Drosophila melanogaster: one gene and its partners. The protein of the gene in region 1 interacts with the protein of each later gene in a pairwise test. Each region holds a gene or a part of one and is shown in the gene's direction. Other genes may lie near its edges.

Evidence for each region.
Region 2: the proteins of Tsp39D (region 1) and CG8157 interact in a two-hybrid assay, tested with the Drosophila melanogaster proteins (one large-scale study listed by BioGRID).
Region 3: the proteins of Tsp39D (region 1) and Cpr50Cb interact in a two-hybrid assay, tested with the Drosophila melanogaster proteins (one large-scale study listed by BioGRID).
Region 4: the proteins of Tsp39D (region 1) and CG1637 interact in a two-hybrid assay, tested with the Drosophila melanogaster proteins (one large-scale study listed by BioGRID).

Annotation. Positions count from the first base shown.
Region 1 is NT_033779.5:21,341,459-21,349,611, forward strand, and holds the start of Tsp39D (tetraspanin 39D), read left to right. Parts: upstream 1-3,148; 5' UTR 3,149-3,278; intron 3,279-8,153.
Region 2 is NT_033778.4:15,323,590-15,329,931, reverse strand, and holds CG8157 (uncharacterized protein), read left to right. Parts: upstream 1-3,545; 5' UTR 3,546-3,569; coding exon 3,570-3,581; intron 3,582-3,641; coding exon 3,642-3,971; 3' UTR 3,972-4,429; downstream 4,430-6,342. Other genes in the region: CG8160 (uncharacterized protein), read left to right, coding at 1,688-1,699, 1,757-2,383; Arf6 (ADP ribosylation factor 6), read right to left, coding at 5,588-5,730, 5,785-6,087.
Region 3 is NT_033778.4:13,791,275-13,799,488, forward strand, and holds the start of Cpr50Cb (cuticular protein 50Cb), read left to right. Parts: upstream 1-3,502; 5' UTR 3,503-3,664; intron 3,665-3,830; 5' UTR 3,831-3,901; coding exon 3,902-3,931; intron 3,932-8,214.
Region 4 is NC_004354.4:10,872,147-10,881,615, reverse strand, and holds CG1637 (uncharacterized protein), read left to right. Parts: upstream 1-3,817; 5' UTR 3,818-4,062; coding exon 4,063-4,201; intron 4,202-5,616; coding exon 5,617-5,813; intron 5,814-6,028; coding exon 6,029-6,375; intron 6,376-6,445; coding exon 6,446-7,142; 3' UTR 7,143-7,716; downstream 7,717-9,469. Other genes in the region: Ork1 (open rectifier K[+] channel 1), read left to right, coding at 1-141, 672-744, 1,059-3,100.

The DNA of each region.
Region 1 (8,153 bases):
TTAAAGTCTTTTTTAATTTACAACCCTAATTTTGAAACGATATGACATTCTGTATGTATGTATATCATAGGACTTACTGTATATAGTGTGCATAAATACATATAATTGTTTGTAATAGCAGCAAAAACATTGAATCAATTACCGTTAACTAGCGGTCCTGCCGTCTGAGGAACGACGGTCTACAAAGTGACGCCCCAATAAGTTAATTTACCACCCATGATCTTTTTAATGCACTTGAAACCTTCCATTGGATGCAAGAGTAGAAAACGTGGTAAGAGGGGTGTGTGGGCGGACAGGAAAACAATTAACGTACCGAAACTAAAATTGGCACATTTCCGTTATGGGTCGCCAGACTTAAGACTCTGTACGCGGGAAAGGGACGTCGATAGTAACGCTCGGACGGTAAACAGTAATAAAATAACGGTGCTCAGTGGGTGGTGAAGTCGGCTGATGCGACGAGAGGGGGCTTGTAAGTGTGAGTGAGTGAGGGTGGCTGGGGTCTTAGCAATAATTAAGTAAAAAATTGTAGTTGGGGGAACTCTCTCCTCTTCGGTGTCGAGTTAAGCTTGTTTATTATGTTTGATTAGTCAGGATTTCGTATTTTGGGTAGGTCGCAGGATGTTAAGCTCTTCCACAAACTCCAAAACATCGATTTGTTCGAAGCAGTGCAAGATTCTGAACTGAGTTTCAAAACCTTCTCTGTCAATCAAGCCCGCGTGTCAGTGTGTTTGTTTAAACACAACATTTCGGAAAAAGTTCTAATGCAAGTTCTAATAAAACTTTTCACTTCCTCGGGAATCCTTTCTATTGTACAATTATTCTTTTTTATTTTTTATTCAATTTGCAATCGATGTACCTGTGTTTAACTGAAGTGGTTAAATGTTACCGGTAGATAATTGAGACAGTAGAGTACTGTTACCAAGAAAAAACAAGTTTATTTTTGGTGAATTTCGCATATAAATACATTTATGTATATACATACAGATATGTTTTATACTTAAGTGAAAAGCCTAGAAGGAATAGCTGAAAATCTGCAATTAAGCGAAGATATCGAAATTAATTCTGAGCGGGGTCTATATAGCAATATTCTTAAGCGAAGTGCTTTTTAATCGTACAGATTGGAGAACATTAAAAATTCTGTTACGATTGTGCTAAATATACGCAAAGTAGGACGAAATATATTCGTAAATAAAACTCGCAATATAGATGTGTAGCTCCATAGGTGTGCAATGTAAATGAACAGGAAGAGACTCATATAATATATTTAATGTTATATAGAAATACCCCAAAGGATCAAATATTAATTCAAAAATTAGAAACGTTTTCCCAGTGCTGTAAATTATATGAGAAGCCTATTTTGAAGAGCATTTGCTTAGTACAAGTGAAGAAAAGTATATGAATATTTAAATAAGTAATGATAAAAATAACAAATTCATAATTATATGGAATCTGTAATATGTATACATAATATAATAATATAATATGTATACATTCTCACGTTTAAAGCAAAGATTATTTAATAAAGTAAAGAATAAACCGGAACTCCAACACTTTTGAAAAATTCTGTGATAATTCTTCATATTTTTATTAGTCTTGTAAATTACTATGGATTTGCCAAAAAACTTTTTGCCTCGCCTACTTCAACGTCCAAAGACCGCCCAAAACTGCCACACCTACACTTTTAAAATATTTTTAGAATTTTCCGTTTTATTATTTGTCTTGCCAAGTTTTATCGGTATACAAAACAATGTGGCCACGACCCTTCTTTCACCTACAAAACGAACAAAACTGTCACGCCAATAATTTTTAAATTTTTTCTCATTTTATTCACCAAAATCAATCGATATCCTGGAAAAATTATAAAATTTGGCGATCGAATTTCCACTAGCCGAGTAAAGGGTATCTGATGAGCGGGAAATCGAGTATAACATTTTCTCTTGTTTACATATATCCTTTTACACTTTTACCACTTTTCATCCCCAAGCATCAAATTTTTCAAAGTCCTGGTATGAATACAGAAAAAATCCTATGATATACTCTTTTAATGGGCAAAATGTATTTATAATATCATTAGGTTTTTAATTTAAAACCATTCAACAATGGTTCACTTCTATTTTACCCATTACTCGTAGAGTAAATGGGTATACAATATTGGTTGAAAAGTATGTAACAGGCAGAAGGAAGCGTTTCCGACTATATAATTTATATATATTCTTGATCAAGATCAAAAGCCGAGTTGATCTAGCCATGTCCGTGTTGCCACGCCCACAAGAATCACAAAATTTCCAAGCCCACGTGTAACGTGTAACGTGTAATATAACATAAACCGATTCCACCTTATTCTTGCCAAGAAGGTTGGTTTAAGGGCTAAATCAAAAGCAAAAGGAGAGCTAAAACACGGTGGAAATTTTTTAAAGCGTTGTTGAGTAGAGAACGTGCTAAGTTATATATATTTCATAAACCACCGCGAAAGCGAAGAGGATTTATCTAATGGGAGGAAGGTATATATATCATGTAAATGTTCCTGATTCTCTTTTCTTGATCGGAATCTCCAGACGACTCTATATGCCTATGTCCGACTGCATTCGTTTTCTTGGCATTTCATTTGATGTCATCAGGGACTTATGTATATGCAAAAATTGAATACAATCCTGTTTTAATTTTCACTACAAACATAGTTTTATGACAGTAATCGAATCTCCTTTTAGCTAAACTTAACATTGCTTCTTTTATAATCAATCTGGGTTATACAATTTTTATCTACGATTCGAATCCAGTCTACTTTAGTAAAAAATTATGGCAACTCCCGACTTCTGTATACTGCAGTATGGCAGCTCCCGAACTGTGTAGATGTTGGTATGGCAACTCAAAATCACCTGCAATTGCTACTGAACATTCATATTAAACATAATTACGAAAAGACCAACATTAAAATAGCGTTTGTATTCGGCAATACAAGATTTATTGCTGAGAGGGGAAAAAGCGGTTCTAGCATCAACACGTAATAAAAAGAAAATTAACCAAAATTGATTTTCTTGAAATAATGTTTCCAGCACCGGGATAAGATAACAAATAGTGGAGTCATTCAGCAATCGTTGATTGGCGTGAGGTATCGATGACCATGCGCTATCGATACCTCCGTTGGAATTATCACATCGTAGCTCTACTGTTTGTCAAGTCTCACTTGAAAACATCCATCGAAAGTGCTGTTGTTCTGATTAGAGCGCGGGTGCGAGTTAATCAAGCGAACCGTTGCGTCCTGGTCCTAAATTTGAAAGGTATAAATATTTGGGTGAAACCAATCAGCTGCAATAGATGATGCGGTCCCTTGCGCCATACAAATTGGTATTAGTATTGCCCTAGAGGAGTAATTGTGTGTATGTATGTTGGTGGGAGAGTGGAAAGTGGTTTAAGTGAGGGATGCGACCGAACAATATGCACTTCTCCCTGTGCTACCTGAGATCTAGAGTGTGGAGAGTGATTCTGTTGACTAGTTTGCGTGCTTGCGGCAAGCAGGAGCTGCGGTCCGGTGTGATACATGCCTCGCGAAGTTGCTCCAAGTCGTAGTGGATGGTGCTCCAGGTGCTGGGATGCGCCTAATTGGAGATACACAAACGGTCAGTCAAAAGCTCGTGAAGTGTGGGTAATGCCTATATATATCCGCCACCCGCCTACAAGCGGGTTCCGGAAGTAGGCGACGGCACGCAACCATCAACCAGAAGCATCATTATGCACACATGCAGCTGGACATGGGGAAATCCTCTCAATAAAGCCGCTAGGCGGACATTGATTCATATGTTAATACACGTGTATGAATATGACAATTGGTGAGAGCGGGAACCACCAGTTACGCACAGTGGCCAGATCGCACTAGCGCACTATTCGTCAAGGAGTCAGGATTTGGTTGTCGTCTCAAATAAATAGCTAACTTTGTTAGAGATAAATGGTTAGGTTTAATCAAACTAATCGTTTAATTTCAAGGTAACATAAACTCATATTTTGCTTAAACTAAAAACGGTTTAATATAAATAAGTCTGACAGGACCGTAAAACTGCTCTCCAAATTCGGTCGTCTGGTACCTGGGCGCAAATCAATTAAGGAACTATTAACTCAGCAATGGGAACACTACCAAACACTGTACAATGTAGTAGCAATATTAAATATAATAATATAATAATAAACATGGATGCTTGCTTCTGCAAGCTAAAGTATTTAAAAAGTATTAGAAATGGTCGGTAATCGTAGAGTAAGAATTCACTTAAAAGGATGTTACAGGTAGAAGAACGCTTTTTCCACCTTATAAAGTATTTCTGTATGTATTAACACTTAACACATACGTATATCCAAACTGGTTTATTACGCAGTACTAAGAAATATACGGCTGACGTGTGTATTTTACCCTACATTGTCATCCGTGTGGCAGGTGTAGCCACTTTTTACGCAGCTGACACTATTTCTAAGCTATCGATTTTGTCTTCTATTCCTTTCCCATTGCTTTGAATGCCGATACTTGGCCTATTGCTGGTGGTGGGGTGGCACTAATAATTTAAAAACCGACCTATTTCAGTGCAGAGTTCAAACTCATTCAAACTACACAACTATTACAGCAAGCGCAATATACATACATATGTATGTATGTACATATGTATTCCTGTCCTTCCTAGTTTTCGTTCTCCATGTCCGTCCGTATGAAGGTGGAGATCTGAGGAACTATAAAACCTACAATATTGAGATTAAGCATATAGATTTCAGAGGCATAGTTTGTTTACTCATGTTGCTACGCCCACAAACCCTGCCAAAGCTGCCACGCCCACACCATTGGAAAATGTGTTGATATTTATATATCCGTTACTCGTAGAGTCAAAGGTTATGATCAGGATCAATAGCCGAGTCTATATGTCCCTGTCTGTCTGCTCGAATGTCTATGCGTCCATATGAACGCCGAGATCTCAAAAACTATAAAAGCTAGAAGGTTGAGATTAAGCATAAAGATTCTAGAGACATAGGCGCAGTGCAAGTTTATTTCAAATCACCCAAAACCGGTACGCCCACTGTTTGTTTTGATATATTTTCCTATTTTTATACCCGTTACTCAGATTAAAAGGTGATACTAGATTCGTTGAAAAGTGTTTCCGACCAAATCAAGTATATATATCCTTGATCAGGATCCATAGCCGAGTCAATCTGGACATGAAAGTCGAGACCTCAGGAACTATAAAAGCTAAAAGGCATACAGATTCTAGAAACATAGACGGAGCGCAAGTTTGACCCATGTTGCCACACTCACTCTAACGCCACGCCTACACTTTTGAAAAATGTGTTGATATTTGTTCACATATGTATTAGTCTTGTAAATTTTATCGATTTTGCCAAAAACGTTTTTGCCACGCCCACTCAAACCGCACAACCGGTCACGCCCACACTTTTGAACAATTTTTAAATTTTTTTTCATTTTATTTCCCAATATCTCTTGATATCCCAAAATAAATGATACTTTCGCGTTCTCATTCACACTAGCTGAGTAACGGGTATCTGATAGTCGGGGAACTCGACTATTCTCGCATTCTCTCTTGTTAGTTTTGTAAATTTCTGTCGATTTGATAAAAAACTTTTTGCAATGCCCACTCTAACGCACAAAACCCGCCGAATCCTGTCGCGAACCCACTTTTGGAAAATATTTCGATCTTTTTTCATATTTTTAATAGTCTTTTCTTTCCAAATTCTATCGATATGCCAACAAGGATGTTAAATGCTTAAGCTGAGTAACGGGTATCTGATATTCGAGGAACTCGTTCATTCTTGCTTTTTAAATTCATTTAACAGTTTTTTAATGCAAAATTTGTTTAAATTAATGTATTTTGTATATACTCGTAATAGTTGACATTGTAAAGGTTCGGTAAAGTTGTACATTGAAATAACTCCGGAAAAAAGTTTTTAAAACTTCTTCAATACAGGAAATCCATATCGTTAGCCGGGAATAGCTTACACATACAGAATAACATACAGGAATAATGAAAAGACCGGTGTGTTTGAATCTTGTTCTATGATTATCACTTTAACAGAGTACGGATAAAAATGAATACTAAACGTATACGAGCTTAAATAGCGTTAGGCAGTTGGTTTATTTTTCTTCGCGTCTTATAGCATGTAGTATGTGCATATATCGAGGGTACACTGTACCTATAAGTACACAGCAACACTTAGTTGCATTGCATAAATAAATGTCTCAAGTGAGCGTGATATAAGATCACCCATTTATGCTTTAAGCTAAGTCAGCATCCCCACGCTGGCCGCTGGCCATATATGCGCATAAGCTCTCTCTCTCTCTCTCTTATACATATATATATACGCTGCTCTTCTGCCGCTGTCGACGGCGGCGCAGTCGCAGTATTTAGGTAAGATTAGACACTCTGTAGAGGTTAAGCGGGCAGAACCGTTTCTGCTACTCGAAGAGATAAGAAGAAATAAAAAGGTGGCCTGACGGCTGCACCCAACTGCAAGGAAAACACGTGTTCTCAATTGGTGGCATATATTGGTTTATTACATGGCGACCGTGAGGCAGGAGCCTGCGATCTGAGGACTACTGAGGAAATGCTGCTAATATTGCCGATTTGATTTGGGAATTCTAAACAGCGACAACAGGTGTGAGAGGCAGGCCGCCCCTTACACCAGTGCGGGAGACCTAGAGACGGGACACTGATGAAAAAAAAAAAGAAACAAAAATACTGAGTGAGTAGAGTGTGGTAATGGGCAAACGCGGATGTCAGGAAATCAAAAATAAAGGTATAGCACATATTAAGTGGCTATGATATACAAATAAAACACCGCCCCCATGGGCAACGGCACAGAAATTAACTGCCGAATTAGACTTTCTGAAAGAAAACCTCCAGCAAAGAAAGCCGAATACCACAACTCACTCAGCAAAAATAGAAATAATCAATGAAGAAATAACTGAAAATTCAACATCACCCAAGCCGAAAAGACCCGACGTCTGCATGAACGACTGCCCTCGACCATTGTAAGCCGCAACAGCAATTAGCACGGCATCCTGCGAGGGTAGGATTAGGATAAAGGATAAAGGATTCCACCGGCGCGCCGCACATGACAACAGCGAATGTCTACCAAGCAGACGTTCGAACACCCTGCTCCTGTCGAGCAAAGGGATCTGCCAAGTATCAAAGAGGTAATAGAGGTAGATCCGTCCGCGGGACCAAAGCCCTTGACCATACAAGAGTACAAGGCACGGACTGCAGCGAGGGAGCAGCCACCTAAAAAGAAGAGGGGTGGCCGCCGGATTAAGTTGCTCAGCGCCCGGAGGCTCAACATCGAACTACTGAAGACGGCAACTAATGAGGAAGACCGGCAGCGCTACAAAGAGCGCCTTGCAGCCATCAATCAACAACTTCGTGGTGCGAAGTAAAGCGGCGGGCTGCGTTATACGCCATAGCCTCAACCGCCCAAATATTATATTAATGTTGTCGATGCGGTTTCCGCTGCAACAAAATTACTAACTTATCAGGGACCCATTTCATAACTAACACATTATACTCAGTCCTAAACTTAAAATAAGTAATAATATTGTAAAATTGCAAATTGCAACCGATGTAAACTGAGTATAATGAATTCATCTATCAAGTAAAAATATGTTTAACAACAGTTTAGACCTATTAAAATTTCGAGCTATATTTATATCTGATCGAGATAACAATAATTGACCAATTCTCAAAGTTAAAATTCTATTTGTACTTTTGATATACAAATAAAGACTAATTTTCCCCATATCAAAATGGGACATAAGTCGTGGATACAACCCCACAGTTAAATTCAATGTACTTACTATTTTTGATTTTAGTTATCCTATCAGCCTTTTAACCTGGCCTTAAAACTTTATCAGTTTCACAAAAGATCGTTGAAAAGACTTACATGAGTCGAGCCAATGATTTAGACAAAATCTAATAGAAACTACACCAAAAAGGTACAAGTGCGATTACATCGCTAAAAGGTACATACATGGAATGGCTAAACTTAACCATATCCATAAACAATATTAGAGATGCTTTTGATAAATCCTATAAATGTATTAATAAAACCGCGCTGATCAAAACTCAGACGCTTATTTTTCACATAAAGGTATTGATAACACAATACAACAC
Region 2 (6,342 bases), on another chromosome or scaffold:
ATGTGTAAAGATGTTCTATCTAATGGTCTACGTAGTCTTATTTATGCATACACATTTTTATTTACTCTCTATACATTATAATTTTATGGATAAGAGAGCCAGAGCTAGAGGTGGTCCCGGGTCCACTAATCCAATAATCGATAAATGCTGCTCGCAGGACCAAAACGGGCGGCATGGGGGCTCCGTTGTGCTCCCCGATTTTGTTGTGGGGCTTTTGCCATGCTTAATGCGCCGACATTAACTTTGTAACAAATGAGATGTCGGAATACAACAGTCAGGATCCTGGCAAGCCACAGCCCCTCCCCGCAGCTCCCTCCCTTGCTCCTTTCACCGCTCCTTTCTGCAATCTCGCTCTCTTCGCGGGGGAGAAAGCTAGAGAGCAGCTGCGGCTGGCAGAAGTTTATGCTCGGGACAAAAGTGAACAAATGCAAAAGTCAAAGCGCTTTGCCAGCATGGCCACGCCCACCACGTCGAGGGAGGAGCGAACGAGAGCGAGATAGAAATACAGAGAGACAGAGCGACGTTATCCTGTAACAGACGTGCACGCAGGATGCCCGTCGGTGTGAGCGAGAGCAATGACATCGTGCGAGCAGGACGAGCAGAGACGACGGGGTTGGTTCTTGACATTTGAACGGCGACATTTCGCATCGCCAGGATACATACACGAATACTCGTACACTCACCCACACCGACAAATCTCTGCGAGTGCCACCCACTGGAGAGGGCGGTGGGTGGCAAGCCCTATCAAGTGCAGTGCACTTTATTTAATCAATCAAAATTCATGGACTGCCTCTTTTATTCAACATTCAGACACTTTGTATCTTTGATTTACGTTCCGGTAAAGCGGGATTACAAGGAATTGTATTTGTTAGTTACTATTGTATCTTTAAAACGTAAACGTTTATCTAACATTCTTAGTAACATAGTTAGTTTCATAAAATGAAATAAATATAATAAAATAAATAATAAAAAGTGTACACGAAAGTAAACATGTGCTGCTTATCGGCCAAAATGTAATCTCAAGTTTTTGTTCTATTTTGTTCTATCAAACCAAACACATATATACAAACTGTTTGAGATTACAAATTCACAAATAATTTATTTCTAGCTTATCTATAAATGGTTCTAAGCAAAATATATTGAAATGTATTCAAAAATTTATCACAAATTTAAAGCGTTGAATCGAGGCCATTAATAAAGTAACATTTTTAGCGACAATGAAATTTATACATTTTTTATTGCCCTTGCCCTTTTTACAAGTTGATTATACCACTTATTTTTAAGGCCAATACACTTGCTTAATCGCAGCATTCCCTGCCGTGTCCAAAATTTTGTTTTATTTTTCTACTAATCATTGACCTCAGCGCCATCAAAATTTGGGATTTTCCACAGGGTAGTCGAAGTTGATTAGGAATGTGTGCTTCTTAAGCGGATGTACCTACAATTTAGATTCTGGAATAGGGGAATGTTGAGATCCGGAAAAGTTATTGCTTAAATATATCAAAAAAGCCTTTCCTTTCAAAAGCAAGATACCCCCCAATCGATATCTACTATGACAATATAAACTGAATTAAAATCAATGACAGTCCATAACAGGTAACTAAATGTCGAAACGCAATGCCCACTAGCTTGGGTATAAAAGAAGACACTCTTTGGCATTGACTACAGTTCGAAAAAAAATATCAAGATGAAATTAATGGTGATTAAGCTAATGGTCAGTGAAGTTTACATAATCCTCAATTTATTTACCCTTTAGGTTGTCCTGTTCGCCCTGATGGGCATTACCTTGGCCAGACCGGGATACGACGGAGCAGCAACCGCCCAGTGGGGTTTGAGATCCGTTCCACAGAGCGGACAAAGTGGATACGGCAGCTCGCCAAGCGGATACGGCGGATCAGCTTCCCAGAGCGGGCAAGGAGGATACGGTGGCGGGCAGGGAGGATACGGTGGCGGGCAAGGAGGATACGGTGGCGGGCAGGGAGGATACGGTGGCGGGCAAGGAGGATACGGTGGCGTTCAGGGTGGATATGGCCAACCCGCTCCATTGACTGAACAGGTGGGATACGGCGGCACTCAGGGTGGATACGGCAGTGCACAGAAAGGATATGGCGCATCCGTGCCCCCAAATGAATTCGCACTTGGACTCTCGGGCCAAGGACGTTTGGGAGGATATGGCAATGCCACTCCTCAGAGTGGAAAGTTGGGATACGGCGGCGGACAGGGAGGCTACCGAAGACCAGCTCCCCAATCGGGCCAGTTATATGCCGCAGGAGAGCTCGGAGCAGGCCCCCAACTTGTACAGGGAGAATTCTCCGGCGGAATTGGTCACGAGAACTGTAACCACGAGCATCACAAGCATCATGGACATCATGGACGTTACTAAAACGGCAACTTTAAGTATAACAAAGTAAATTAAAAAAAAAAAAAAATTAAATCTTGCGAAAAAGTTGACTTAATTCTTAAGGTATAGTTATTGCTCACATTAAACTAGGAATTAAAACACATAGACATCAATATGCCAAAAATACAAGCACCATTACAACTTTCTATTGAACTTCCGCAATAATTATCAATCTTCGATTTCCCGAACTAATCTCAGTACCAGTCGATTAAAGCAACATTAAATAGTTTATTCAATTTGTCAAGTTCTTAAGATTGTGTTTTTAGAAATGACACATCTATTTTATAAACCTCTGCAAGTTATTCGAGAAATGCATTTTAGAAATTCAAAATCGGTCTTTTTTTTAGCAACAGCAATTCTTAAATTATACTACTTTTTTCCCAAATCGAAATATATAACTTTTGTCTATATTTGTATATTGAGTATATTTCCTCTTTGTAAGATTAACATTTTGTTTGTTACATATTAACAAAACAAAGACTTTTTTGACAGATTTTTTGTATATTTTTTTCACAGGGCACTCCAATCAATAATCTGTACTATCCAAATAGACATAGACATATTAAAGTAAATAATACAATTAAAATTTATATATGAATTTTCTCATAGTCTGGTTTTAAACCGTTAATCTGTCTATTAAATTTAATTTTTTTCCAGACATCATATTATTATATTATTTTTTAAATAGGTTCTTTTACATAAAAAGTTCGCACACGTGCCCAAAATGAAAATCAAATAATAACGCAAAAAAACAATACTTTCTGCCTAATTGGTGGTTCCGCTGTCTGTGATTAACAATTCGACTGTTTTGTTTTCATCTAAACAATGACCTCCTGTTTCTGTTATCAACATGTTGAATTTTTTACAGGGTAATCGTATTTTGGTGAGAGTATAAATAAATAGCTTAAGGTTGGCACATTTGTTTATAAATTTTGAAAATAAAAAGTCTTTAAAAATCTCCAGCCTCTGCTATATAAATTAAATACAAATAATCGAAACAATTATTACATTGTAAGTTTACATTTGCTTACATACGTTTGTCAAATCGTAAGTGTACTACGCTTAATAGGTATCTGAAAGTCGAGACATAGTTAAGTCCACGCTTACAGATCGGGTATATAAAGAGGCCACTTTCAGAGCGGATTTCAGTTTAATAATTTAAAGCAAAATGAAACTACTGGTAAGCTAGCTGGGTTATGTGAAAGAAAGTAGAAGGATCTTACGTTCGTCTATTTTATAGATTGTTGTTCTTGCCCTGGTGGCCGCAGTTTTGGCCAGACCTCAATTTGGACCTGGTGGTCAAGGAGGATTTGGTGGTCAACAAGGCGGCTTTGGTGGACAGGGAGGATTCGGTGGAGGTCCTGGATTTGGTGGACAAGGTGGTTTCGGTGGCGGACCCGGAGAATATGGCGGTCAAGGTGGTTTCGGTGGCGGACCGGGAGGATATGGCGGTCAAGGTGGTTTCGGTGGCGGACCGGGAGGATTTGGCGGTCAAGGTGGTTTCGGTGGCGGACAAGGCGGCTTTGGCGAACACCACAGACACCATGGAGGACATCATGGGCGCTTCTAATACCCCAATTTCTTAATCGTCTTAAAATCGTAAACAAAAAATAAATAGTTTTTTCCAACATATACCTGCTGTTTTCGTGAACCAAATATTAAGGAGACCACGGATCCTGGAGATAACTCGCAAACGAAGGAAAGAACAAACACGCATCTTGAGGAGACGCAAAACCAAGGAAATACTACACTCTGGGATTCTGCACACAGAAAAGATTGACTCGGCTATTGATCCTGACTAATAATATATATATTAACAATATATACACTTTATTAAGTCGGAATCGTTTAATTCTACATACAAATTTCATAGGATGTGTCACTTCATGTGAGAATATTAACAAGATTATCTTGGCAATAAGCGCTTCGTCACTTCGTGGATCGCTAGATGACGTTTATTTGGGAACTCGTCATCTTCATCACAACCTTTTCATCTGTAAAACGTGACTCTACTAATTATTATATATTTTTATTATTATAATACAATAATAATACAAAAACATATTTACAGAAAATAACTTTGAAACCTATGATTTGTTTCATAACTTAAAATTTATAATTATAATTCAGCAACAAAAATCTTAGATACTGAGATATTACGGGGTATTATGAATAGGTTGGTTTTGATAAAAACGGTAAAGGTATAAAACAAGACATACACCCACAAAAAATAAATTATATTATTCATGCAAGGATGTACCAAGGAGTTTTTCGGACAATTCGGGGATGATTGCAAAACAAAGGTAAATTATTGAACGCCGTGTTGAACAAATCATGCTCAGGTATACCCAGGCTCATTTACCCTGCAAATTATGGCACTGAATGTGGCATGTTTACCTTTCAAATTGAGCGCACAATACAAACCAAATGCGTTTGACACTGAAGTCAGAATATGCCTTTCTCGCAAATCCAGGGACCTTCTTCGTCTCGAAGGATATCAGATTGAGAAAATTAGCTGTTGGAGTGGGGAAAATAATGAGGGATCATAGACACACATTGAGGAAGGCACAGTTACTATTTCATTATATTTTGAAGACTCAGTTTTAATCTAAATAGCAATCTATAGGTTTGTTCAATTGTTTGTTCGGTGTTTTCTTTTATTTCGTTTGTTGTTGTATATGGGCTTTAATTTGAATATTTATTTACAATTTATTTAAGACTCGTTACACCCTTGCTCAAGTCAAATATAGTAACAGTTGCAATAAACAAGCTTTCAACTTATTGCTTACGTGTCTCATCAATATAATTTACAAGAAAAACTTACTTAAGGCTAATCTCCGTTGATGTTTTGCTTTATGTCTCTGTGCTTCACGCATAATTTACTTTACGGATATTTACCGGCTGCTTATTTTGATGCTTCTTTTATTTTGTAGGTATGTGTATTTTTACTAGTGAGAATATTGGTTGGTTAATTGAGAGTATATATAATTACTATATATATCTGACTTCTATATACCATTTTTAACATTTGTAATTTATGTACGTTCGTTTTTACGAATTGAGTTTTTACTATGCGCTTGCGGTTGGTTTTCTTTGTATAAATAAAATAGAATATTTTCGCTTTTGCTTCGCTTCGAATAATACATGCCATATACATACATATAAGAAAATGCTCGATTACGATTCTCATAACTTATGGTTCGACGTTAACCAAATGAGGCCCTCGGACAGGCCATCGCCGGATGTGGCACATGATGGTTGTACATACCAATTGCGATCTCTTATTCTAGTTAAACCTAGTTTTTCCTGGATTTCATGGGGTTTCATTGCTGCAAGAGAGAACAATAAGCGGATGGAAACAATTGGCTGAGCACTATACTAACCATCAGGCAGATCCTGCTTGTTAGCAAATATCAGTATGATGGCGTCGCGCATCTCCCTATCGTTAATTATCCTATGCAGCTCCGTGCGCGCCTCGTCTATCCGATCCCGATCCGCACAATCCACGACGAAGATCAGACCCTGTGTACCCGTGTAATAGTGTCGCCATAGCGGTCGAATCTTATCCTGCCCACCGACGTCCCACACATTGAACTTGACATTCTTATAGGTGACGGTTTCCACATTAAAGCCCACAGTGGGTATCGTTGTAACAGATTGGCCAAGTTTCAGTTTGTACAGAATCGCTGTGGGTGGACAAAAACAATATTACTTTAGACACGCAAAGGATGTATAAACAAAATAGCTCGAATTCGATTAGTGATAGTACTGGTGTACGTATTGAAAGGTCTTTATATTGTACATTTTTTCAAAGTACAATAAGAATAAAAACAAAACAATAATTGCCTCGCCTCAAGAGTATTTTTTAAATGGGATTGGTTTCCACTTAGGAAACTGATGAAACTAATGGGTACTAATCAGGCCCACAATCGAATTCGAGA
Region 3 (8,214 bases), on another chromosome or scaffold:
CTTCTTTCCTCAGGTCTTATGTTTTATCCGTTTTCTTTTTCTTTTCTGTGTGTGTGTGTGTATGCTTTTTTTTTTGAGGGTGCAATGAACGCAAGTGCAGAAGATGACGATGACAATGAGGATGCACCAGTTGGGGAAGGTGTGAACGCAGAAAAAATTCGCTTAATTTGTCTAAAGAAAAGCCAAGAGCATGAAAATTTCCATTAAGAAAAATGGTGGCAAGTGTGGCAAGTGACAGGGAAAGCTCGACTTTAGCCCCAAGATTGTTGCAGGAGTAGCAGCAGCATAGCTGGAAAAACTTATCACAGTTGCTCGCTGGAATAATGAGAGCAATCAACAGGAAACTCCGGCAAAGAGATCAAATCAAATCAGAAGGAAGTGCCAAAAGGAGATGGCCGTAATGAAAGCAATCAAAGAAGCCGTTAGCAACTTTCAGGCGATCATTACACTACAAGTTTTTAATGAGCACAGCAGAAATTAATACAAGCAGGAACAGTACAAAACAAAATTTAAGAAATATATTATGCAAATTATTTTACCTGTACTTCGAATGCCAGTTAGAAAATCGATGATCGTGGGGGAAATGCCAAGCGAATCGGACGACATTTGATGCGCCTTCACCGCGAGTCTATCGAAAACTCCATTTATTCCATCAGAAGTCCAAGACATTTAGTCTATAAATAGCAAATGGTAAGAAACGCGCCTCCGCGCCGAAATAAATGCAAATCATCCGTCTGGACTCAAAACTGGAAAATAAAACAAAGATCGCCGCGTTTTCGACCACTTCTCACACCAAATTCAGAGGGCCATGGCGGCAGCAACATCAAGTTGCCGCTGCAACAAAAAAAACACCGCGCTTAGTTGCAACAATGGTCGCGACAACACTAACAATGCCAGCGATGGCAGCAGCAACAGCAACAACTGCTGCAGCAGCAGCAACATCCAATGCTGGTGGCAATAAAATGCGGCAATTACATAGTTGGCTATTCTAATTCACTCATTTTTAGCTTGAAAAAGGTGCGCCTGACTGGGGCTATTGGAATTTATTTTGGTTCTACAGCAACTGCAACACTAAAAGCAGCAACAGCAGCAGCGGCAGCAGCAACAACGTGCAACAAGCATCAACAGGTGATTCGCCTGAATGTTGCACGAAATGGGCAAAACAAATTCGAGGAAAAAATCATCTTAAATGCTTCTGCCGAAGAATTTGAGTCTGTTCTTTTAAATGTTAATTTTTTTTTTATTTCGTCTTCCACTTGCCTGCAACAATTCAATAAAGTTTAAAATGTCAACAGCTGGGCGACAGAAACGAGAAAAAATAAGTGAAATAATGCACAAATGGCTATTGAAGCCCACGAAATGTTTGACTAAGTTTTGCTTCCGTTTCGCATTGCTTTGGAGCCGGAGCCCTCGAGTGTCCACTTGATGAATTAAAAGCGGGAAATTTGCAAAACTTTATTACTTTGGACGTTTTGAAAAATGATCGAAATGCCGAAGAAACCGAGACTGCAACGGTGGCAACAGCTGCCGGCCGAAAGGCAATGACAGCGAAACAAAAGTTGCCCAATTGATGTCAAGTTATTGTTGAACAAATCAAAAAGGGAATTTTCAGCGCGGCCTTATATAATATCGAATTCGCCCCATCACACTGCTCTAATTACATTTTAAGTCGAAATCCTTTCGTAATCGCAGCTACCAACGATTGCACTTGATTTCGAGAGCGTCTCAAAAGAAATTTCAATTTGCCCCCAGAGTTTGCGATATGGGTAACAATCCCAACAATCCGAACAATCGGACCAGTTGGTAGTTTTCAGTTGCCAGTTGGCCCCGATTGTCGGCGGGTATTATGTTGTTAAGACATCGTTTTGACAGTACGTTCGCCTCCGCGTGAAGAAGACCGTTTGAGATACACACACACCACATACACACACGCGCGCACATGTGTATCCGCAGCTCAAGTGTCACGGAAATCTAAAGTTAAAAGTAACCAAAAGTTGTTCAATTACTTTTCACAGCGGTCCATTGAAGATTGCCAGCAGGTGTAAGCGGCGCTGATAGAGGTAACATCTTAGGTACACGAAATGTTACCTTGGAAAATGGGTACCAAACTAATAAAATCTAATAAAATTGCTTATAAAAATAAGATATTGAGATATTAGAGTATCTTTAAGATTGCAGCTATTGAAAACTAATACCATATCTAATATTACAAATATATAATATTATATTAATAATAGTTTTAGTCATAGCCCAGTGTAATTGGTAATAACATTTCGATTTTGGTACAAGATTTTCGCATCACTGATTATAAGATGGGTTGATTGTAAGTGTAGCTATTTTCGATTGATTGCTCCCCATAATAATTTCAATATCTAATTTTAATATCGCACGCACGCACACATCGCCACCTCGCAAGTGGTCAATAAAAATGTGAAGAAACTCTGAAATCAGTCATCGGATTGCTTTTAATTGTTATTTAATCTCGGCTCGTACAGAGGCGCTGTGATACATTCAAGGTTAATTGGTTATGGGATGGGATTTGAGGCCTGACGGAAGAAAAGGAGCCATGCGGTTGATGTTGGTTGGAAGGAGGAAGTTGGCCCAAAGGCACTCGACACGTCTGCCAGCCTTGTGCAATGGCCAATGGATGAGTTTCGGGGCCTCGGCTACGGATCTTTGGCATGAGCCTCACGTCATAGATTGCATTTTGGCAGAGGTGCTGCGGGAAATTGGGACGCCACATGAACACGTTTGTGCAGCTTGTGCAATTTTCCCCGGGCAACCGCATCACGTACTTCTCACCAAACTTATTCTATGTTCTGATGCTTTCCCAAAGGCCAAATGGCAAAAAAAAAAAAAAGAAGAAAAAACAAACAAAAATAAATATATAGATATTTCGAAAAAGGGCGACTGTATCTTTGGAGGCTAAAACGAAACCTATCATCTGACATTCCCAGTGACATTTTCGTATCGTCTCGATGGCAACTGCATCGCCCGAGGGCCCAGACTTCATAAAAGCTTGGCTTAAATATCAAATTTGGCCGAGTATTTAATGAAGTCATTCGGGGCGTTGCAGGCTCTCCACTCGAACTCATCTTGTTATACATCCGCCCGAGCTTCATCATCATCGTGCCAGCCATTCATTTATCATCTCGTTACCCATCATCGTAATGATCGTGCCACGGCGATGATCTGCAACATTTTTCACCACCTCAACACCAAGACTTGGCCAAAACGGTGAGAGCAACGCTGCGCTCTCTTTGGGCCATTCTGAGAGACTCGTGGATGTGGATGCTCTTGGCTCCAGCTCCACGGAGGCAGATGATCTAGAAGTTAGGCGCTAGACTTGCCTCAATTGTTCAAACCGCTTTTTCGTTACTTTTAGGTGCAGTTGGCAACGCGAACGCCGCTGCTACCGCCGCTGCCGCAGTCGCCGTCGCCGCCGACGTCGCTGCCAGCGTCTTTGAGCGTTTATTATAAAAAGCAAGCGCATCTCCATTGTCTAACCTAATTCAAAACGTTCGTGTACTTCGTGCGGTTGTCTAGGAAATCAATCTAGCCGAACCTAAAAAGATAAAACCACCTCCTCTTTAACTGAGGCCCCCTCCTAGTTGAGAAATCCAACCGGTGATAAAAAAATAAAACCCTCCCCCGCCCGGTGAAAGTAAGAGTTAATACAACTATTGTGGCAAGCGAAGGACTACAAATTAAATAGTGTGCAATAATCATAAAAATAACACAAAAGACACTCGATTAACTCGAAACAATATAAATGAAATAATTGACAACTCTAATGAATTTAATTTAATTCAATTCAATTTCAACTTCAGCCAGCGGCGTTTGTGGATACACTACTTTTTGCCATCGTCTGTGAACGTAAAATCGAAACTCAACTAACAAAATGATGTCCTTCAAGTCGTTCGTCCTGCTTGTGAGTATTTATACATACGTACATAAAACAAGGACATGTATTTCTGGGCCTGGAAAAAAAAAACATAGCTAAGCCTACATAAATCAGTTGGCCAAACAAATCATATGAGATTTCGCAGGCGTGTCCTTTGGCTAAAGCGAAACTATATATGTATGTATGTTTGCATGTATGTGTATGTGTGTGGAAAGGCCAGCAAGCTAAGCTTGTTATATGTCAAATTTGTTTATCGCTGGCAGGGAAAAATGACCCGTGGTCACTCAGTGTCCTTTTTCGTCTACAATGTCATTTTTCTGCTGCGGCTTTTGGGGAAAGTTTAAATGAGATTTGCTAGGAGAACTGAAGGCAACTACCCATCAAACTGGTTGTTTCAAGTGCCTGGCAAACTGTTTGCCTTCCTTTTTTTTCGTTTTTTTTTGGTAACACTTGCCGTCAATGGCAACGAAAATGATTGCATAACTTGCCACACGTCTGCCACAGAGCCTCTCATCATCATCATCATAATCAAAACCCAAGTCCACACACACACACACACGAAAGTCAAGTGGCGAAGGGGCCAAAGTAACCCCGCCGAATCGAACAAATTGCAAATAATCAAAGACACTTAAGTGCTCCACTCCGCTCTGGTTAATATATATATATATATATACATATGTACTTGTACGTACTCCTCCATGGATACGCATTCAATATTTGGCAACATCTGCGTTTGCCAAGTGCCACGTAAAATACGCCCCAAATCTAAGCAATACTCCCTGATTGTTCCTAACTAAACACTTGAGTTTCGGAGAAGGCTAAAAGGTTGTAAGGCGGAGGACACATGTTGGTAATATATTTCCCCTTTCGTATTTAGGCATCATCTGAGGAAAATTGCAAACCTTTTTGCTCCCCTTGAACAATTGCAAATATATAAGGCTCCAACTTGACTTTATTTTGTAGGCAAACTTTTCTTAGCTGGTGCTAAATTGACACAAGTTTTTTTTCATCAAATTGTTGAAAAATATACTTTATACTTTACTAATATAGTTTCGTAAAAATATTTATATAATTTGTTTCAAATTGCTGTAAATTGACACAGAAAGAGTTGTGCAACTAAGAAATTTCTAGGTGATCCAAAATCCTTTCTGTTACCTATTAATTTACACATTTCGCTTTGGAAATTCTCCATATTCTCACAATTTTATTGTGAAATTACAGTATTGAATACTTTTCCTGGAAGTCCAGAAGTTAACCCGCAATCAAGAGCACACTTGTAAACTGCGAAATACTTTCACTTGTTCGCCATTGTTAAAGCATTTTGAATCGCGTTTTGGGACGACGCCCTTAAGCAGGCAACAAAATAAAACAGACGCGAGTTTCGCTGGCTGCTCCTTGATGTCCTTTTATTTTTTGTAACTGGGGCGTGTTAAATTGTTGGTGCGACACTTGGATGCAATGCAGGTCCAGACGGCAGACCACACTGTCTGGAATCCATCCAATGTACCTCCGCCCATTCCGCGTTACGTGAGCACACAGGAGAAAAATTAGATTTCTTCAAAAACCAAAAGTGTCTAAAAAGATTGAGATATAAAATTATATTAATAGGTACTCAATGAAAGCCATTCAAATGTATGAAGATTTTCAAAGAAGACATAATCAATATCTAATTAAAATTTAATTGGTCATACATCATGTAATTACTCGAATGAATTTTTACGATTAACGTAATCGTGATTAATGGACGAGCATAACTAGTAGTTAAAATAAACGCAATATATATGCAATGTTTGAGGCCAAAGTGTTAGATCTTAAATGTTCTTCTATTAGCCATGTTTTTTTTCAGCGGTTTTTCTCGCAGTGCACTCCTCCATCTCTGATGCGTCTGGTCTGCCAAGCAGATAACTTCCAAAAGGTACACCAGACGATAGCAAAGGAATAGAGTTTGAGAGCAGAGTGTAGAACTCCAGCCAGACGCGTGTAATTTGCCGCTTGTAACTTTTTGACTTTTCACCAGCGATTCTCCATTTCCCCAATGCCGCTATATTCCCCTTATTTTCTTCTCCTTTTTTTTTACCATTCTTGTTTTGGCCCGAACTGGGCGAATAACAGCAGGCACGGAAGCGTACCAAGCCAAAAATAAAAACCAGGAGCCCAACCACCCACTGCCACATCCGCCCACCAAAAGGCAGACACTCGATAGACAAATGGCCGCTGGCCAGTCGAGTGCACGGGCTTTTGAGAACATCGGGGCGAGCATGTTTTACATGTTAATTTCAGCCCGGGGGAGACTCAACTGGCCAACTACCCAGCTAGCCAACTATAGGGTACAGAGTACGAATACGTCGAGCACCCACACCAGCTAGTAATGCCCAACTGCTGCTGCATATTAATGCCCATGATTCCAGCTGCTCATTTTCGCACGCGAAAATTGCAGAACTGGTGGCAAAGAATTCGAGAAACGATTGGTAGCATTGACTGGCATTCATTCGGGCACGCTTTTGAATTTCAAATGACAAACCTAAAATATTCACAGTTTGATATTTGAGTCCGTCCGATGATGGTGCTGCTGCTGCTGCTGCTGCTGATGATGATGATGAGCTGGCAAAAGCCGAAAGTCGAAGCTGCTAATTCTGCATTCTGCATTCTGCATTCCGCACTCTGCATTCTACAAATGCTGAATTGTTGCATTCGCCGGCCGCAGCGAATGGGCAATTGTGAATGCCGGCATGGGTCAATGCAATGCTGCCTCCGATTCTGATTAGAGCCGCCTGATTATGGCCAATATATCGCATGTCTGGCCAAAAGTCTTTCATTGGCTCATCGCTGCACTGCTGGCGATTCGAGTGTAAGCGATTGCCCAATGAATGTTGGATGTGTGGAGGGTATTTCAAAGGGATATTTGCATTTCGTTGGGCTCCTGCTAAAATTCTACAAATTATCAAATTATCAATAGAAGTTGCACATCCGTGAATCCAAATATTTCAAACAACAAGCCCATTATTATTTTTATAAACTTCCAATTTATAGCAGCGTATTCCCCCATTCGTCATTTCGCACAGGCTCTACCCTTGCATTACAAATTCAATTTTAATTGAAATAATTTGGCAGATTTGCCAGATTTCGCTTGATGCCGATTGGCATTGCCTCAAAGCTGATCCGTGCTTAGGTAATTGAGCCCGGGGGTCGTCGAATGGGCGCTCAGACCCATTCTTCTGCCTTGGAAGTATGCAATTTTGCGGCTTCACCGATATTTGCTGTAGCTTTGTGCGGTTTTATTGTCTTTGGCAATGGCTCGAATGCGGGGGGGAAAAAAAATCCAAGCGAAGAAAACCCAAATGGCAAAAAATTAATGACGCTTGAGCAAGCGGCAAGTGCAGCAGCATATATGTAGTATGAGTTGGATGAGGGGCTTCTGCGGGGAAATGGTAACCAGCCAAGCATCTGCGCCTTTGTGTGTGTGTGTGTGTGTTTGTGTGGTAATCTAATTAAATCGAAATTTCAGCTGATTACAAAAGCCCAGCCTCCGCCTCTGAATTCGCTAATTGCCCAACCAAAACCAGAGCGTCCAACGTGGCGTATGCGCAATGTGAATAAGAGGCATTTCTCCTCCGTTTCCCTTAGGCAAGGAATTTTTAATTGCACTATTCTGGCTGCAAGTGTTATTTCGTCGGCGCTTTTGTGGGTCCACAACAGCTGGCAATTGGAAAATTAGTTCACTGGGGTTTTTAACCGAAATTCTAGCATTTAAATGGCAGAGAAATAGTTCTGGAAAAAGTTGTACTTGGTTTTTAGTGTGCAACAATTTCGGTAGTTGTGGTTTCTGCACAACAATTTTGGCTTAAAAAAAGCTCATAATTTTCATTCGATTTGGATTTTTTGTTATACATCAAATGGTTATACCAAAACTATAAGCATAGAAACTAAAAACTAATTAAATCCATAATTCAACCATAATACCACATTTACCTAATAATCGGTTTTTATGAGACAAAAAAGCTCCCACATAGTTTTTATAACATTTTAAGTAATTGCACATGAACAGCTTGCAAATGCATAGTTGGTCATAAACAACTACTTGAAGTATTCGATCGTAGCATATAATTTATAAGTTTTTTCTCACCCGTTTTTTGGGTATTTGAAAGGTTAATATCTTTATGGACAGCCGGCGGCTTTTGTGCATTGAAGTGTGTTATTTAATTCGGGTTAAATAGGGTTAATGTAGTGTAGAAGAGGAACATACTAGCTGAAGATCTGCCGATAAACAGGCGAAAAGAAATTGACTTATCACAGGTGAATCCCCAAGGAGG
Region 4 (9,469 bases), on another chromosome or scaffold:
CAGAGCAAGAAGCTGGCATACCTGGAGCAGCAGTTGTCCTCCAACCTGAAGGCCACACAGAATCGCATCTGGTCTGGCGTCACCAAGGATGTGGGCTACCTCCGGCGAATGCTCAACGAGCTGTACATCCTCAAAGTGAAGGTAAACGATTCCCATCATCCATGTACATCACACAAATGGGCTAGCACTCAGTGTTTCAAAATGGGATTGCACTTTAACTTGGGAATTTTCAAATAATATTAGAAGCTTAATTAAGTCATTCCATACTTTAAAATAGTTATCCTTATATTCTTATACCTAAAAATTTGAAAAGTTTTCACAAATAACGAATTAATAACCATTAGGTATAAAACATTGCTAACAAGCTAAATATACATATAAGCGGAAAATTTAATATAAAGATTAAGGTTGATTACAATATAACTGGGCAACCACATTAACTATACTATTATTAACTATATAAAATATTCCTTGATATGATTATGCACTCGTGTCCAATTGTGCACCACCACACGGGGCTAACTAACCATTGATCTTGCAGAGAGATTTTCACTGGGAGTACCTTCAATGTTTCGTGTCCGACTAAGCGGTATCCTCGTATCCACGTTCCAATTAGCCAGTATTCTTAGACGTTAACCAAAATCTTAAATAGCCGCTGTTCTCCGTTCTAGTTTTGTCGAAAGGGAAATAGAAAGAAGCCGAAAAATAAGGCTAAGACTGAGCAGAAAAAGAAGAGCAGCCGATGTAAGTAATACAACCAGAGATTTCCAATGGACCCACATCGAGTTTATATAGACAGTGCTAGCCCAAAATCAGTCCGACAATTGGATGATTAACTACTGCCCACGATGCAAAGGTCGAACACTAATCTAAACTATTCTCTTTACATGTACGACACCAAATCAACATTCTACACTTTTTGGAACTGCAAATATGACTACCAAACTTTAACACACATGGACTGGAAATCGAAACTCTTACATTACATTGACTATACATATATGAAACCGAATTTGTTATATCGTATTAATACTATCAGCCTGTGTACACCGATGTAGATATCGCCTACACACTGCCACGTTCCAATTCGTGTCCGGATCTGAGCATGTACCGCGTGGAGCCGGCTCCCATTCCCAGCCGGAAGAGGGCATTCTCCGTGTGCGCCGACATGGTTGCCGCCCAAAGGGAGGCGGGCATGGTACACGCCAATTCCGATACGGAGCTAAGCAAACTGGATCGCGAGAAGACATTCGAGACGGCGGAGGCGTACCGCCAGACCACCGATTTGCTGGCCAAGGTGGTCAACGCACTGGCCACGGTGAAGCCACCGCCGGCGGAACAGGAAGATGCGGCTCTCTATGGTGGCTATCATGGCTTCTCCGACTCCCAGATCCTGGCCAGCGAATGGTCGTTCTCGACGGTCAACGAGTTCACATCACCGCGACGTCCAAGAGCACGTGCCTGCTCCGATTTCAATCTGGAGGCACCTCGCTGGCAGAGCGAGAGGCCACTGCGTTCGAGCCACAACGAATGGACATGGAGCGGCGACAACCAGCAGATCCAGGAGGCATTCAACCAGCGCTACAAGGGACAGCAGCGTGCCAACGGAGCAGCCAACTCGACCATGGTCCATCTGGAGCCGGATGCTTTGGAGGAGCAGCTGAAGAAACAATCACCGGGTGCCGGTCGCGTCAAGAAGTTCTCCATGCCGGATGGTCTGCGACGTCTGTTTCCCTTCCAGAAGAAGCGCCCCTCGCAGGATCTGGAGCGCAAGTTGTCCGTGGTCTCGGTACCCGAGGGTGTCATCTCGCAGCAAGCCAGATCCCCGCTGGACTACTACAGCAACACGGTCACGGCGGCCTCCAGTCAATCCTATTTGCGCAACGGACGCGGTCCGCCACCGCCCTTCGAATCGAATGGCAGCTTGGCCAGCGGCGGCGGCGGGCTAACGAACATGGGCTTCCAGATGGAGGATGGAGCAACCCCGCCATCGGCATTGGGCGGTGGAGCCTATCAACGCAAGGCGGCTGCTGGCAAGCGCCGACGCGAGAGCATCTACACCCAGAATCAAGCCCCATCCGCTCGCCGGGGCAGCATGTATCCGCCGACCGCGCACGCCTTGGCCCAGATGCAGATGCGACGCGGCAGCTTGGCAACCAGTGGCTCTGGATCGGCGGCCATGGCGGCAGTGGCCGCGCGTCGTGGCAGCCTCTTCCCAGCTACAGCATCGGCATCATCGCTGACCTCTGCTCCGCGCCGTAGCAGCATATTCTCGGTTACCTCCGAAAAGGATATGAATGTGCTGGAGCAGACGACCATTGCGGATCTGATTCGTGCGCTCGAGGTAGTGCACACCCATGCCGTGCTTGATGAACAGCAACAGGCGGCAGCGGCTGGAGGAGCTGCCGGTGGAGGCGGAATATCGAGGGGTAGCCGCAAACAGCGCAAGATGGGCAATGCTGGACTGGAGCCACCGCAGCTGCCGCCGATCCTGTCGCTCTTCGCTGGCGATCAAACGAGGACACTGCAGGCGGCGGCTGCCAATCGGCTGTACGCGCGTCGCTCCACTATTGTTGGCATATCGCCCACTGGTGGAGCAGCCACCGCACCGGCAGCCAGATCCCTGCTGGAACCGCCACCCAGTTACACTGAGAGAGCCGCAAATCAAAGCCAAATAACAGCCGGTCCATCGAATGCGCCAACTGTTCAGAGCAAATTCCGTCGTCGCTTTAGCGTGCGACCGACTGCTCTGCAAATTCCACCGGGACAGGCGCCGCCACCAGGTGCCAGTTTGATGGAGCAGTCCTCACAGACGGCGCTCCAGCGACGCCTCTCGCTGCGACCCTCGCCACTGGCCCGCGAACTGTCGCCCACGTCGCCGCCCGGAGGAAGTGGAAGCGCCTTGCCAGCGGGGGCCATCGACGAGTCTGGCGGAACGTCCGCTCAACGGCTGCTGCCCTTGCCCGCCGGAACGAGACCCAGCACCAGCAGCACCCACTCGCCGCTCTCGAGGATCGTGCAGATCTCGCAAGCACAGCGCAAGAGCAGCATGCCCAGTGCAGCGGCCACGGGATCGAGTGGTGCCCCCGCCGAGAAGTAGTTAGGTTTCCTTGTCCGAAAGATGTATTACCTGTATCGTATACATATGTATTTCCACGTCCAGCGGAATTGCTTTGCCAATTTCACAGCATGTATGCCACAAAGTCGATAAGGCTGCCAAAAGTCCTTAGTTGTTATGCTAATGTTATCCTTAAACCTATTTACATACGTATATCCAGTTATCCTAGTTGTATGTATTGTTAAAACTATCTCTCTATCTCTCTCTCTCTATTGTTATCCTGTATTTATACCCATATACCCTAATCTATATATCTATATATATATTCTTCTATGTTTATTGCTAAGAAGGCGCTTATATGAACAAAACGATCCGCATGTTTTCAAGCATTCAATTGGGACCGACAAAGGATCTCGAATTGTGTGTAGTTTCATTTAGCTCTTAGAGGGACTTCATTCCCCAAAACATTTCATATGCTGTTATATAATAAAGATATTCTGCAATAATGCGTACATTTCTAATTGATTGATTTAATTGAAATTGAGTAATTGGTCGAAATGTATTAACAATAGAATAACCAATTGAGCTGTTTTGAATTTGAAACGCTATTTCATTTTTATTCAAACAGCTTTAGATAAATTTGTCATTTTCACGTAATTTATTTACGTATCAAGTTCAAATCGCGCGCTCACTTATCGCTTTCTATCGATAGTTGTCGCCAGCGTGCAATCGTTACCACTGGCATTTGCTGTTCGGCGGCCAAGGTCACACTGCACCCGGATTGTTTTTGTTGTGGCTGCGCTTATAAATTGCTGGATATTTCCATATTAGTGCTCATTTTTTGTTGTTCCCGCAAGCGAATTTGTCGATTCCCCCGTTTAACTCCAACGACTCCCCGAGCCAAGTGTCCCCACTTTGACAACGACGCAATTGTGATTTGGCAATGTTTTTGCTGACTGCGTTACTGTGCAACAACAAACACAAGTAAATACAAAACGGTAAAAATGCAGAGACTGCAATTCGCTCTGCTAGCGTCGCTGCTCCTGCTGGTGCTGCTTCTTCCGGGGATTAGGAGCACTCCCATCGACCAGGACGTCGACATTGTTCACTATCAGCCGGAGCAAGTGCATCTGTCCTTTGGAGGTGAGTGCGATCTTCTTTACTTTTCGCATTATGTAAATTGCTCACCTGCAGCGTTGCATTAGTGTTAGAATACACTGGGAGAAAAATGATAGCTTGGCATATAAGTTTCTAATATTACAAATCTATCACGTAGGAAAGTTTATTTTATTTACATTACCTTACATTGTACTTACATTTTCCTTTATGTGTATTATCACATATGGTTTTGAAAAACATTGATCGTATAGTACGCAATTCCAGAGGCACTTATCGAGTGATATCAATACTTGCTTTCCAATCCCGCCCAGAATCATTTGCTACATAAAATGATTATCAGTGTCGTCGCCCCTATAAATGGGATGAACAAATGCAAATGCACCCACAATAACGGGCGCAATGCATAGTTATATTTAATTGTAGTTAATATCTATACGATCGTTAGTTACAGCCTACAAATTACAACAAGGTAATACCTAAGGTTTCCCCAAATATTGTATAAATATAGCTTTATATTAATAATCGAAAGTCCCATAAAACTCCAAAACTGATAACATCTAATTCCGAATTTTTGGAAGCAGCAATAAATTCAAGCTTATTTAAGGCCTGATGAGGTGGCAGGTCAAACACAAAAACATTAACAAACAATTTAAGTATGCCACTGTGAATGTGTTCGTGCACAATGCTAAAATTAATCGCTGTGTAGTGCGATTGGCGAAAAACTGAACAAGATTAAAAACGTCAGCCGCTCGGCCAGTCTTTTTTGTAATCAGGTGATTCCCCCCCAAAAAAAATAGCATTATTCCGCCATATTGGGGTTCCACTGTTGTCTACGACAACGCGGGCATTGCAAACTTCAAAACCCTGAAATGCAACCCAAAGATTGATAGACTTTGGCTCCCTGTGGGGCCTCATATTTGCCGATACGGTCGATCGTCATCCCACCGGCCATTTGGCTTTGTGTTCTAGTTTCTAGTTTCTGTTGGGTTGGCGATAAGGATGAAGCAAACAATGGAGCGTCGCTGCAAAGCAAAAATATCAGGGTTTTATTGGACAATAACATTTGGTCATGAATGACTGGACGACCCTGCACCCGTTACAGATTCAAATTCAATTTGGCACAAGCGATGCTAATGGGATTGAAGTTATTCATTAAAGTAACCAAGTAGCACTTGTTTCAATCAACTTTAATTATGCGAATCATTATCGTGGCAAATCTGGAATTCGAGTTCATTGTTTATATTATACTATAAATCTATACATTTTCATGTTTAGTAATCAGTATTAATGCCAAATCTAAATGATATTAGATGCCGGATGGGGGCTAATTGTTTGTTTTCCTTTCATTTGAAACGTACCAACATTGGACCAACGAAATTGCTCAAGTTTGTTTTTCTTTTACTCTTCCCCGTTTCTCGATATCCGCTTGTCCTCTGAAGCAGAACGCACCGATAGCGAGATAGTCGTCACTTGGTCCACGCGCAGCCTGCCGCCGGATCAGGAAGTGGGTGCGGTCAGCGTGGTGGAGTACGGTCAACTGGTAGACGGACAGGTCAGGCTCACCCAACAGGCCCGGGGAAAGGCTACTAAATTCGTGGACGGCGGTCACAAGCAGGCCACGCAGTTCATCCACAGGGTATGCATAGAGTATGCAACCGATCAAACGATTCAAGTAGATTGATGTGAGAATGTAAGAGGAATGCAACCTTGAATCCGGCTCTTAGAACCAAATTAAGAACCAATGAGCCAGGACTGCTTGCACTCCATCTCTTAACAATCAATCGATCCACCTTGACATCGCAGTTGATGTACCAGAAAGAGAGAGAAAAACTTATTGTTTACTTTGCTTAGGTGACGCTTAGGGACCTGGAGCCAAATGCCACATACTCTTACCATTGCGGTAGCGATTTTGGCTGGTCGGCCATCTTCCAGTTTCGCACAGTGCCCTCGGCATCCGTTGACTGGTCGCCATCGCTGGCTATCTACGGGGATATGGGCAATGAGAATGCCCAATCCCTGGCCCGATTGCAGCAGGAGACGCAGCGCGGCATGTACGATGCCATCATCCATGTGGGTGACTTCGCCTACGACATGAACACGAAGAATGCTCGCGTGGGGGATGAGTTTATGCGGCAGATCGAAACGGTGGCTGCCTACCTGCCATACATGGTGGTTCCCGGCAATCACGAGGAGAAGTTGTGAGTAGCTAGTAGAGCAGAGAGTAGAGTGTTTTTTGGTAGAAGCAGGATCTAATTGTTGGTGTTGCAGCAACTTCTCGAACTATCGTGCCCGCTTCAGTATGCCGGGAGGTACGGAGAACATGTTCTACAGCTTCGATCTGGGACCCGTGCACTTCGTGGGCATTAGCACGGAGGTCTACTACTTTCTCAACTATGGTTTAAAGCCGCTGGTATTCCAGTTCGAATGGTTGCGTGAGGATCTGGCCAAGGCCAATCTGCCAGAGAATCGGAACAAGCGTCCGTGGATCATCTTGTACGGTCATCGACCCATGTACTGCAGCAACGAGAACGACAATGACTGCACCCACTCAGAGACTCTCACGCGGGTGGGCTGGCCATTTGTACACATGTTCGGATTGGAGCCGCTGCTTTACGAGTTCGGCGTGGACGTGGCCATTTGGGCGCACGAGCACTCCTACGAGAGACTCTGGCCCATTTACGATTACAAGGTGCGCAATGGAACGCTGAAGGATTCGCCGTACAATGATCCTAGTGCCCCTGTGCACATCGTCACAGGATCCGCCGGCTGCAAGGAGGGAAGAGAACCATTCAAGGGCAAAATACCCGAATGGAGCGCTTTTCACAGCCAGGACTATGGTTACACACGGCTCAAGGCTCACAATCGAACACATATCCATTTCGAGCAGGTGTCCGACGACAAGAACGGCGCCATCATCGATGACTTTTGGTTGGTGAAATCCAAGCATGGAAGCTACCGAAACTAAATAGTCATTCCCAATCTGAACCATAACCTGAGCCGAATCAATTCAAGCTAAAGGAGTCTCTCGAGGCATTACACGCATCAATAGCAACAGGCAGTATTAGTAGCGCACATTCGCCTCGACCTGATTCGATCACAAACTATAGCAATAAGCGTGGCACATTCCTTATCCAAATATCTCAACCCAGCCCGAAACAAACTACAGTTTTATACTTAGCCAATTTAACAAACGCAGCATTTACACATATGCAAGCGCTTTTAAGTGTGCATTTAACATAAGCTGATAAGAACGTAAATGAACTTAGTTTCTTATCTCTGTCGCATGTTACTTGATGTTCAAAAACTGGTACTCGGTAACTGCTGTCTTAAGCAAATTGTTTTTAATGTGTATGGGATGTACTTGATATACTTATTAGGATCAATGTTAAAGGACTAATGGATATGCACCCGATCGGTTTTTATTATCAATAAGTACATGAAATCCGATTACCGGGTTTATTATAGTCACGGCAATCCGATTGTACACTGATTGTTGTTTAAATGCCTAGTATCTTTACAATAAATGTCTTGAACTTTTCATTGTGCTTATTGTTTTGGGATAAAACAATTCAATATCATAAAACTGGGAACAACTCAATTGAGAATTCAACGATCAATCAAATGGTTTGTGAGTGAATCCATTAATAGTTGACTTCATCTTGTAGACAAGTGTTGTAAATATGTGACATGCTCAGTGTTAAGCTCCTAGTTAATCAGTGTGCTTGTGCAGAAACCGTGCTCGACATTGTCGTCACCTGGAACACGCGCGACAACACCAACGAATCAATCTGTGAGTTCGGCATCGATGGACTGCATCAGCGAGTGAAGGCGACGCAAATGCCCACGAAATTCGTGGATGGTGGAGCCAAAAAGGCCACCCAGTATATACATCGTGTGAGTAACGACGCAGCAAGAGTCGCAAACGAAGGCATCTAATCCATGAACCCATCCGAATGCAGGTGACGCTGTCCCACCTGAAACCGAATAGCACCTATCTCTACCACTGTGGCAGTGAGTTGGGCTGGTCCGCCACCTATTGGTTTCGGACGCGATTCGATCACGCCGACTGGTCGCCCTCGTTGGCGATCTACGGCGATATGGGCGTGGTGAATGCGGCATCCCTTCCAGCGCTGCAGCGTGAAACGCAGAGCGGCCAGTACGACGCCATCATCCATGTGGGAGACTTCGCCTACGACATGGACTGGGAAAACGGAGAGGTCGGCGACGAGTTTATGCGCCAGGTGGAGACCATAGCCGCCTACTTACCATATATGGTGTGCGTGGGCAACCACGAGGAGAAGTAGTAAGTGCTACACCACAAGCCAATTGCGATGATGATAATGATGATGACTGATATAAGGACTTTTCCCTTTCAACCCATAGCAACTTTTCGCACTACATCAATCGGTTCAGCATGCCGGGTGGATCGGATAACATGTTCTATAGCTTCGATCTTGGACCGGTGCACTTCATCGGTTTTAGCACAGAAGTCTATTATTTCACTAAGTTCGGGATCAAGCAGATCGTGATGCAGTACGACTGGCTGGAGCGGGATTTGATCGAGGCCAACAAGCCAGAAAACCGGAAGAAGCGTCCCTGGATTATCACATACGGCCATCGGCCCATGTACTGCAGCAATGACAACGGAGATGACTGTGCCAATCATGAGACAATCGTTCGAAAGGGTCTGCCCATGCTGGATTTCTTCGGGCTGGAGCCACTCTTTTATCAGTACGGCGTAGATATTGAATTGTGGGCACACGAGCACTGCTACGAGCGGATGTGGCCCATGTACAACTACACCGTGTTCAATGGATCGCTGGCCGAGCCGTATGTGAATCCCGGTGCACCAATACACATCATTTCGGGAGCTGCCGGCAATCACGAGGGCAGGGAGCCATTCTTCAAGCGCATGCCTCCGTGGAGTGCCTTCCACAGCCAGGACTTTGGGTATCTTCGACTGAAGGCCCACAACGGCACCCATCTACATTTCGAGCAGGTGTCCGATGACAAGAAGGGCGAGGTCATCGATAGTTTCTGGGTGGTCAAGGACAAGCATGGACCGTACCAGTCTGATCTCAACTCAAAAACTTTGTGATATTTTATGTCGTCATATACTAAAGTATTTTAAATTCGGGCACAAATTCGAATGATTTATATTCGCAGCAATCGGACCAAGAAACTATCCTCCTTCTAAACATATATATTTTAATGAAATGTAATTACAGTTATACGCTCAAATAAAACAACTATGTATGAGTGGCAATGATTGTGGCCTACTGATTCTATAGT